2 linked regions of the Drosophila melanogaster genome follow. The protein of the gene in region 1 purifies or fractionates together with the protein of each later gene. This does not show direct contact. Each region holds a gene or a part of one and is shown on either strand. Other genes may lie near its edges. The genes, in order: Rpn9 and Rpn3.

What was found.
Region 2: the proteins of Rpn9 (region 1) and Rpn3 purify together in Drosophila melanogaster (affinity purification with mass spectrometry, with the first as the bait; one large-scale study listed by BioGRID). This does not show direct contact.

The regions. Positions count from the first base shown.
Region 1 is NT_033777.3:23,730,815-23,735,671, forward strand, and holds Rpn9 (regulatory particle non-ATPase 9), read right to left. Parts: upstream 2,649-4,857; 5' UTR 2,438-2,648; intron 2,198-2,437; exon of another isoform or gene 2,097-2,197; 5' UTR 2,092-2,096; coding exon 1,982-2,091; intron 1,927-1,981; coding exon 1,813-1,926; intron 1,760-1,812; coding exon 1,229-1,759; intron 1,168-1,228; coding exon 774-1,167; 3' UTR 561-773; downstream 1-560. Other genes in the region: CG10365 (uncharacterized protein), read left to right, coding at 1-416.
Region 2 is NT_033779.5:19,049,984-19,054,237, forward strand, and holds Rpn3 (regulatory particle non-ATPase 3), read left to right. Parts: upstream 1-1,806; 5' UTR 1,807-2,070; coding exon 2,071-2,234; intron 2,235-2,295; coding exon 2,296-3,616; 3' UTR 3,617-3,698; downstream 3,699-4,254. Other genes in the region: l(2)37Bb (lethal (2) 37Bb), read right to left, coding at 1-1,051, 1,114-1,515. UniProt on the Drosophila melanogaster protein: Acts as a regulatory subunit of the 26 proteasome which is involved in the ATP-dependent degradation of ubiquitinated proteins.

The sequences.
Region 1 (4,857 bases):
CCAAGTTCTTCCCGCGCGTCGCCTCGCAGGACACGCCCTTCAGCGGCGAGGCGGTCGAGGTACTGGTCTATGTGGCGACGCCAGAGAATATCTATTGGTTGGGCGATGACCCGGTCGAGGAGATTGCCCAGCAGATCGTATCCTGCCGCGGTCCCAGCGGACACAATGCCGAGTACCTGTTGCGCCTGGCCCTGTTCATGCACGAGGAGATTCCCGGCGTGAGGGACGATCATCTGTTCGAGCTGGAGCAATTGGTTTTAGAGGAACTGTACCGCCGCCAAATACCTCTGTCATCTGTGATGGGCCGCAATCCAGATAGGATACGCCGCGACTCGCACGAGGACATCCGCCGCCCGCCATCCTTCGAGTTCACCTCCCGTGTGCCCGACACCAAGCTGCGTTGCCTGAACATTTGATTTCTGGTGTGCTGGCGGCCAAGTGCTATGCAGGTCGCGTTTTTTGCTACAGCAAATTCCAAATTATTGATCGACATTTTAGCTTGTTAGGTAACCAGAGTCTATTGCCAAATTTGACGTATTTCTTTAAATTGTAAATAATCCTAGGCCTAATCATAAGCAGCAACTCCTCCATAAGTGATCTGATTTAGCCAATAAGCTAGGATTAAGCACAAAAAAACTTTTTACACGCAACTGTCAGGGAGTTAAATTACATATGAAAAGAAATGAATACAGTATTTGGGTTTTTAATTAAATACAAAAGCATTCGCGCAAAATGTGAATATGTGGGATCGTCTAGATCAGGCGAAACTAAAACTAATTGGTGAGGATTTCGGCGGCACGATTCTCCATCAGTTTCTCCATGTTCGTGATGGCGCCCATCCATGTGTCCAGAGTGCTGGCCATGCCGACAATCTGGCTGCGGTTGAGGACGCGTGGTTGCACCCACGACATGTTAACCACTCCAGCCACTTGGTCAATCTCGCCGCGGACGAGATCCAAAGCCAGAGCCTTCATGATAAGCAGTTCCACTTCCTTGGCGGGCAGTTTGGTCTCTTGCGCGATGTCGGTAAAGGAGATGGCTCGCTCGATGGCTGAGCGCTTGAAGGTCATCTCCATGAGGCAAAGGAGGGAGATCTTCTGGCGCAACTTGACCTCCTGGGCAGCCAAATCGGGAATCTTGGACCAGATTTTCTTCATGTCATTAAACCTGCAAAGGAATAATAGAAAGTGTTAGTTACTGCAGATATTAAATTGCTATTACTACACACTTGTTAATATCGCCCGTGTTGAAGGCTTTAAGAAGTTCCATGAGCCACTCATTTTCCGTGCCCTTAAGCGACTCAAGAATGGGATGAGCCAGCAATTCGCCTATGTTGTAGACACCATCGCCCAAGAGAGCAGCCAGACCCAAGAAGAATGCCTGCTGGGCCCATTGATCACGGGGGTACTCATCCATGGAGCAGCCCAGAAACTGTAGGCCACATCGGTAGTAATCGCTGTGCTTGCCCACTCGCCGATAATACTGGGATGCCAGCATGTAGTATTTGCCGTGAACGGGCGTCACATTACCCGCTTCCTCTAGGACATCACGCAGTTCCTCGATGATCTTCTTGGTGGCATTCAGATCGTTCAGGTTGCTGAGGTACAGATTACCCTGCATCACCTGCAGATACCAAACGGCCTCGTCGCAGATCTTCACCTTGTCCTTCATCTTCTCCAAGAACTCGATGGCCTCCTTCTTGTCACCGATGTTGTCAACCACCACCTCGAGAATCTGGATGAGGCCATAGGGGTTTATTCTGCAAATACAATACATTAGATTCTGCCGAGTCATTTGCAGAAGCCGACTCACTTGGTCTCGAAGGTGGACAGGAAATTCTGGTAGAGCTGCAGCAGCGCAGTTTCGTCCTGCAAGGATTCGTGGCGCACAAAGGTCACCAGTTTGATGGTCAGCTCATTCCAGAGTCTGTAAAATAATTGTATTACAAGAGGAAAATTGAAATTTAAAGCCCAGATCTAACTTTTCATTGTAGAGCTCCTCGATGAGCGTCCATTCGGCGGCGAGTTCTTTGTTGGTGGTCTTCTTCTGGGTCGCCAGATAGGCGGTGACATTAGGCTGAGGATTGGACATCGCAACTGCGCTTTGTGTTGAATTAATTTCAAATGTAATGTTTAATGTATTCCCAAACTACAAAAATTGCAAATCACAATCGCCGACGCAGCTGTCACATTGACAGATCGCTTGTGTGGCCGTTTGTTTTTTTTTAGCTTATTTTGGTATTTTGTATTTTTGGGCGAATTTTTATGTAAAATTTATTTATGAACTAAAAAAGGCTTACATAATAACAAATGGCTGTATTTTTTATTTTTATATCACATGGAAAGCATTATTTATGATATTATTTCAGTGCCTAGAAACTACTCGATGACTCATTCGATAACAACAGCTGCGGGGCTTGGGCTTACGTTGTACTCACCGTCTGGTCACACTAACCGAACAGCTGTTTCTGCGTGAAGTTGTGTACGCGGAAGAAACAACGTTTCAATTCGTTTTGGAGCTCGCAGCGAAACAGTTTATATTTCCGCACTCCAGGATTCCACTTGGCAGAGAGTCGCCGCGCAGCCAATTAGCCAGTTAGCCCGATCCGCGAGAATATCGATATTTAACCGGGCCACAGCAGCACTGCCAACAAAACCAAATACAACAACTCGAGTGTGCGCCCTGAACTAACTAAAAAAAAGTAAAGCTGTCGTGTGTTTTGCACATTTAACTATTTGTTAGCCAAATAAAGTAGCAATCGAATTTCGCGAACGAAAGTGCCGCAATTAGTGGTTATATAAATGTAAGCCAAACAACGCGTCGTGCAAGAAACTATGTGGATTTGTTCGCAGAAAGTTGACAAACTGAGAAGAACTAGTTAGCGACCACAACGACCGCTCCAACTGGAAACCGCACTCCGCCAAAAGAGATCCTCATTAGCATTTCTTTTGTGGATTAAGGCGCGTGTCAACTATTTGTCACCGATCTCCAAGCAAACGATCGATTCCTCGTCGAAAAGCAAGGTTAGTTCTGGGTTCTATTTTCGACTTTTTGGGGGTCACTACTCTGCCCGACGAGGTTCCCCCTTTTGGCTTCGAAATTCCAAGCAGCATGGCCCTACTGATTGGGCCAGCGGTTCCCATTGGATACGATCGCGTTCCATTGAGAACTGCATAATTGGTTGTACATTGTATCCCACTATTTGGTTAGTAGACAGTTATGCAATTGGGGCTCCCCAATCTTATCACTCAGTGGGCACCACGTCGCCGCCGTCTATTAAAAGTTCTTGGCTTGCAATGGGTGTTGGACAACTTTCTCTTTGAAAAGCAAAAGCCACTTGAGCACAGGAGCGTTGGGTAAAGAAACGATAATTAAATTACTTTCGAGCTGATAGAGAATTTGGAACTCAAAAAGCTATTGAATTGGAAGATTCAACATTTGTATGGATTTGTACATAAACGAAATATATCAACCGAATTGTACTGCATTTTACAGTATGTAAATGCCTTCTTTTTGAGTAATATTGCACAGATGTCGCCTATTTTGTGCGTCCTTCGCAGTAAAAAAAACACTTGAACCAAATCGGCCAGAGTTTACTGTAACATCCTGCTGCGCTGTCAACATTTCTTTTCATTTCCTGACGCCACTGTGCGTTTTTGGTAGAAAGAAAGTACTACTACTTTCTCGATGTAGCAGTTGATTTCCTTGGCCTGTTCCCCACTTTACCAATTTACCAAAATCGAAATGGGCGACATCTGGCAGCGACAGAAACGATGCACAACTATAATATATATATATATGGATATGTATGGTATATATGAAAACCGGCTGAAGGCGTATTACGGTTATGTGAAGAGCGGCAATTTCAAAAATCCAAAACAAATTCCGAAAAAAAAAACGCCGTCGGATGACGACTTCATCTTCATCTCCGTCCCAGACGACAGACAGCAACAGCATCTGGCTATTAAAAGCAAAAGTGAAAAATGCCACACAGTCGCCGCCGATGCAGTGGCCACAAAAACCAAACAAAAGCAAAAGAAAAAGATGTAGAAAAAACATAAACCATAAAACTGCTGCAACAAGTGAAGCAGCTTTGTCAAGTGCATTGCCGCTTCCTTGTTTTTTTTTTTTTTTTTTGTATTTTGTTGCTCACTTTTTGTTGCTGCTGCAGCCAAGTAGTAATATTATTCAATTACAGGCCAATCCAGTTGCCCCGAGTTGCGAAAGAGTTGGGTTCGGCTTGGTTTCTCGCATGTTCATATTCGATTTTTGTGCCAAGCTCTTGGGCAGGCAGCCGCGATCGAAATTATAGCAACTGCAGTCTTCTCGTCAATGTCAATAGTTAAATAGATAGATCACCCTGCAAGGCAGCTCATTCATGCGTCATTCAAGAGGTGCACAAATAAGATCCATTTAATGACTTAATACAATCTTTTATGTTTTTAGTAGCTAATTCTATGATGGATTAAATATGATGAAGTATCTATATTTCCACAATTTCGGAAAAGAATCTAGCCTTTAGTTATTTTTTTTTATACTATTAAAGCAAATATTGCTCATATTTTCTTGACCCACACTGTGAATTCATTGATACCAATTCAACTTGGGATTCCATTGGCGGCGATTTCATAACTCTTGCTCTCACCGCCGTGCGACTTTGGCTTTGCCCAACTTTGATTTGGTTTTTTAAACAAATTTATTTTCATTTAACGCTGGCCGCGCTTCTTTTTTGGCTTAATGGACTGGCATTTTACTCTCTCGTTTCTTTTCTTTACTTTTTTTTTTTAACCAGAAGTATGTGTATATATTATATGTATATATATGTAAACCGATGTAGTTTGGGCAGCCGCAGCAACA
Region 2 (4,254 bases), on another chromosome or scaffold:
CCATGATCAGCTCGGATATGGCTCGGCCCACGGCCAGAGATTGCTGTACTCCGTGTCCGCTAAAACCGGTGGCTAGGTACAGATTGTTGTAGTACGGGTGAGCTCCTAAAATGCCGTTCTCGTCGTATACGTTATGATCATAGCAGCCCGCCCAGCTATCCACCACTTGGGCTTCTCCAAGAACGGGAATTCTATTATACAAATGGGGTCTGATGTGCTGGGCGAAATATTGCGGATCAATCATCGCGCTATTATACTCTTCCGTCGAATCTTGCACGCAAATATAGTTGCCGCCCAGGCCATCTCTGCGAATAAAGATGCCCGACGGATCTATTGTCATGGGCATATTCATTCCGGGTGCACTTTGGGCCTGCGAGTTGATGGCGTACATGTATCGCTTGCGTGCGTTGATGGGCAGCGGAACCCGAAGTATTCCTGGACCCACGCCTATCCTTGCTAATCGCGCGATTTGTTCGGAACTAGCACCGGCGCTTATTACACACAGGGCGAACTTGCAAGTGCGTCGCGTACCATCGGGCAGTTGGATGACCGCTTTTTCCAAGCCCGTGTAGGCACCCTCGTTGGAACCAAGATCTGTGACAACAGAAATGTCCGTTTGGGATTTGAACTCGAAGTCGACCACCTGGCCACTGATAAAATGGGCGCCGTAGCCACTGGCTGACCGTCGGAAATTGCTCAGAAGTGCCAACGGATTAAACCAGCCCTCTTTTTCCAGACCAAGACAGCCCAAAGCGATGCCCTTGGTGTTTAGCCAGGGGAATCTGGCAGTCAGTCGATCTGCAGTGAGAAGTTCATTTCGGGCACCCAGTTCGTTTTGTAGCTGAGAGGAGCGCTTCAGGCTTTCCGCGTGCTCCTCGCCAGCGAGCATCAGATGGCCATGGGGCGTAAACTGGAGAGGCACTTCCTCGCCAAAGTGTTTTCTTGCGCTTCGCAGGAAGTCTGCGGCAAATAGTGACATTTGGATGTTTTCGGGCAGGGAGAATTGCTGACAAAGACCGCCCACCGAAACACGCGTGGCTGACTGGGCATACTAGAAATATGTGGAAGGCAAATTAAATATTCGGGGTAGACTGGTACACATCATTTTACTACCGTGTCATCCTTCTCGACCACCACAACGTTAAGACCGTCGCGGGCCTTCTCCTTCAGCCAATAGGCGATGGAGCTGCCCACTCCACCGCCGCCAATGATGAGCACATCGCAATGGGTCTGGAAGTCATCCGGCACAGTGGCTTCCTTGCTCTTGTCGCGCTCCCCTGAAAAGTGAAACTGGCTCTGTGTCGGAATGGGAACTTTCTCGGTCTCCGGTTCCTTTGGTACAAAGAACTCCTTAACTTTGCGCATATCGTTCCCGAGCAAACGGAGTGTTCGTCGTATGGGGTGCAGGTCTTCGCCGGATTTGTCGCCCCCGGAAGATCCACTTCCATTGCTCGTTGCTCCGGCCGAGAAATTACGGCGCTGAAGGAGACCCACCACTTGTCTGTACCGCAACATTTTATTCTCTTTAATTTTAATTTAATTCATATTCCGTATTAATTTTTTATTTTGTGTTATTTTGTAATAGTAATAACGTGCGATGTTATCGGAGTATCGATATCGAAAAGGCTTAACGGAATTGTGGTAATGTTTTATTGCAATTTAAATAAAAATACGCTTTTACTGAGTGCGTAACTTAAGAAAAGGCTTAACGGAATTGTGGTAATGTTTTATTGCAATTTAAATAAAAATACGCTTTTACTGAGTGCGTAACTTAAGAAATTCCTAACCCAAATTAAAGCAATAGATACATTTACTGTAAAACATTAAAAATAAATTCCTATAACATATGAGACTGAAAGTTCGCTCAGTGTACCGTAAAACGTATCGATAAATTGAAACGTAACGGCTTAACAGCTCTGTTAACCAACTAAATTTACCAGCACTGCCTGTAGCCGAAAACGAATAAGAAGAAGAAGCGACATTACTAGGCATTTTTGATTGGGATTGAGAAAAACAAAAGAAAAGTCGGCTATATTTGTGACCCCAGTAAATTGAGAGTTCCATTACAAAATGACCAACGCAACGGACATCGGTGCTAACGACGTGGAGATGGAGGTGGATCCAACGGCGGAGACGCTGGCTGACGAGAAGAAGAACCAAGATGTGGCCGCCGTGCAGGAGATCCGCGAGCAGATTCGTCAGATTGAGAAGGGGGTAGCCTCGAAAGAGTCGCGGTGAGTAGTGCAAGAATTAAAATCTTGTCCCTTCCTTATTATGGCTCATTTCCGCCAACAGCTTCATCCTGCGCGTCCTTCGCAATTTGCCCAACACTCGTCGCAAGCTGAACGGCGTCGTCTTCCGGAATCTTGCACAGAGTATTTACCCCGCTGGTGCAGATCGTGAGGCGGCCGTGGCTTTGATGCCCGCTGTGGAGAAAGACGCCACCGAGCTGCCCGATGTTCCCAAAAAACAAGTTGCCACCAAGGCTCCAATCGCCGAGGTCGATGCCTACTTCTACCTGCTCCTGCTGGTCAAGCTCATCGACGCCAGTGATTTAAAGCGGGCCGGAATTAGCGCCGACGCCCTAATGGCCAAAATCTCCATCCAAAACCGACGCACCCTTGATCTGATTGGTGCCAAGTCCTACTTCTATTTTTCAAGAGTGGCGGAGCTAAAAAACTCACTGGAAGGCATACGCTCGTTCCTGCACGCTCGTCTGCGCACCGCTACGCTGCGTAATGATTTTGAAGGCCAGGCGGTGCTTATTAACTGTTTGCTCCGCAACTACTTGCACTATGCTTTGTACGACCAAGCCGACAAGCTGGTAAAGAAATCCGTCTACCCGGAATCGGCCAGCAACAATGAATGGGCGCGTTTCCTGTACTATCTAGGTCGGATTAAGGCCGCTAAGCTGGAGTACAGCGATGCCCACAAGCATCTGGTCCAGGCCCTGCGTAAGTCGCCGCAGCACGCTGCCATCGGCTTTCGTCAGACGGTTCAAAAGCTAATTATCGTTGTGGAGCTGCTTTTGGGCAACATCCCGGAGCGTGTGGTGTTCCGGCAAGCCGGTCTTCGCCAATCTCTTGGTGCCTACTTCCAGCTCACGCAGGCCGTGCGTCTGGGCAACTTGAAGCGCTTCGGCGACGTGGTATCCCAATACGGACCCAAGTTCCAACTGGACCACACATTCACCCTGATTATCCGGCTGCGCCACAATGTGATCAAGACGGCAATCCGCTCCATCGGACTATCGTACTCACGCATCTCGCCGCAAGACATTGCCAAGCGGCTAATGCTAGACTCCGCGGAGGATGCCGAGTTTATTGTATCGAAGGCTATACGGGACGGCGTGATTGAGGCTACGTTGGACCCAGCCCAGAATTTCATGCGCAGCAAGGAAAGTACGGACATCTACAGCACCCGGGAACCGCAGCTGGCCTTTCACGAGCGCATCTCGTTCTGCCTGAACCTGCACAACCAGAGCGTTAAGGCCATGCGCTATCCCCCAAAGTCCTACGGCAAGGATTTGGAGAGCGCCGAGGAGAGACGCGAGCGGGAGCAGCAGGACCTTGAGCTGGCCAAGGAGATGGCCGAGGATGATGAGGATGGTTTCTAAGCGGCTGATTCTGCAAATTAATTTGTGCTTGCATTCATTTTTATAGAAATATAATCCGCAATTAAATAAGTTACAATAATTTCGGAACTTTTTTAATTAGGTATTGGAAATCAAAAATAGTTCAGAACTGATCTTTCTTTTTATTCAAGCAAAAAGTTGTATGTTGTTGTTGGTAGACAATCAAAAATTTCAATTCGGTTAGAAATGGAAAAACATTTTAAAAATGTCACTCTTCTGGCAGCCTTGGCGCGTTAATTTAAAACGAAGTCTGGCAACATAGATTCATATTCTTCTTTAGATCTTTTCCCTCCAAAGCTATTTTATTAAAGATCCCTTAAGTACATTGGCAGGACTTTTCTCTGATTGATAGAGGTAATTTATGATATGTAAATTATAGATGGAAAAGATGCAAATATTATTTCAATTACTTTAAACACGACCTTCCACAAAAAGCACACTTTTTCTGACGAAGGTTTTGGTCGGCAGTATTAACGGTCACACTGGCGCAAACAACACAAACAGCAGCCACGGTCACACAAATCAAAGTGGAAAAAATTTTTAGACAAAAAGGTGCACACAATGCAAATTAATTAAAGGCCGTGCGTATTAAATGCCCTAATACGCGATCCTACGTACTG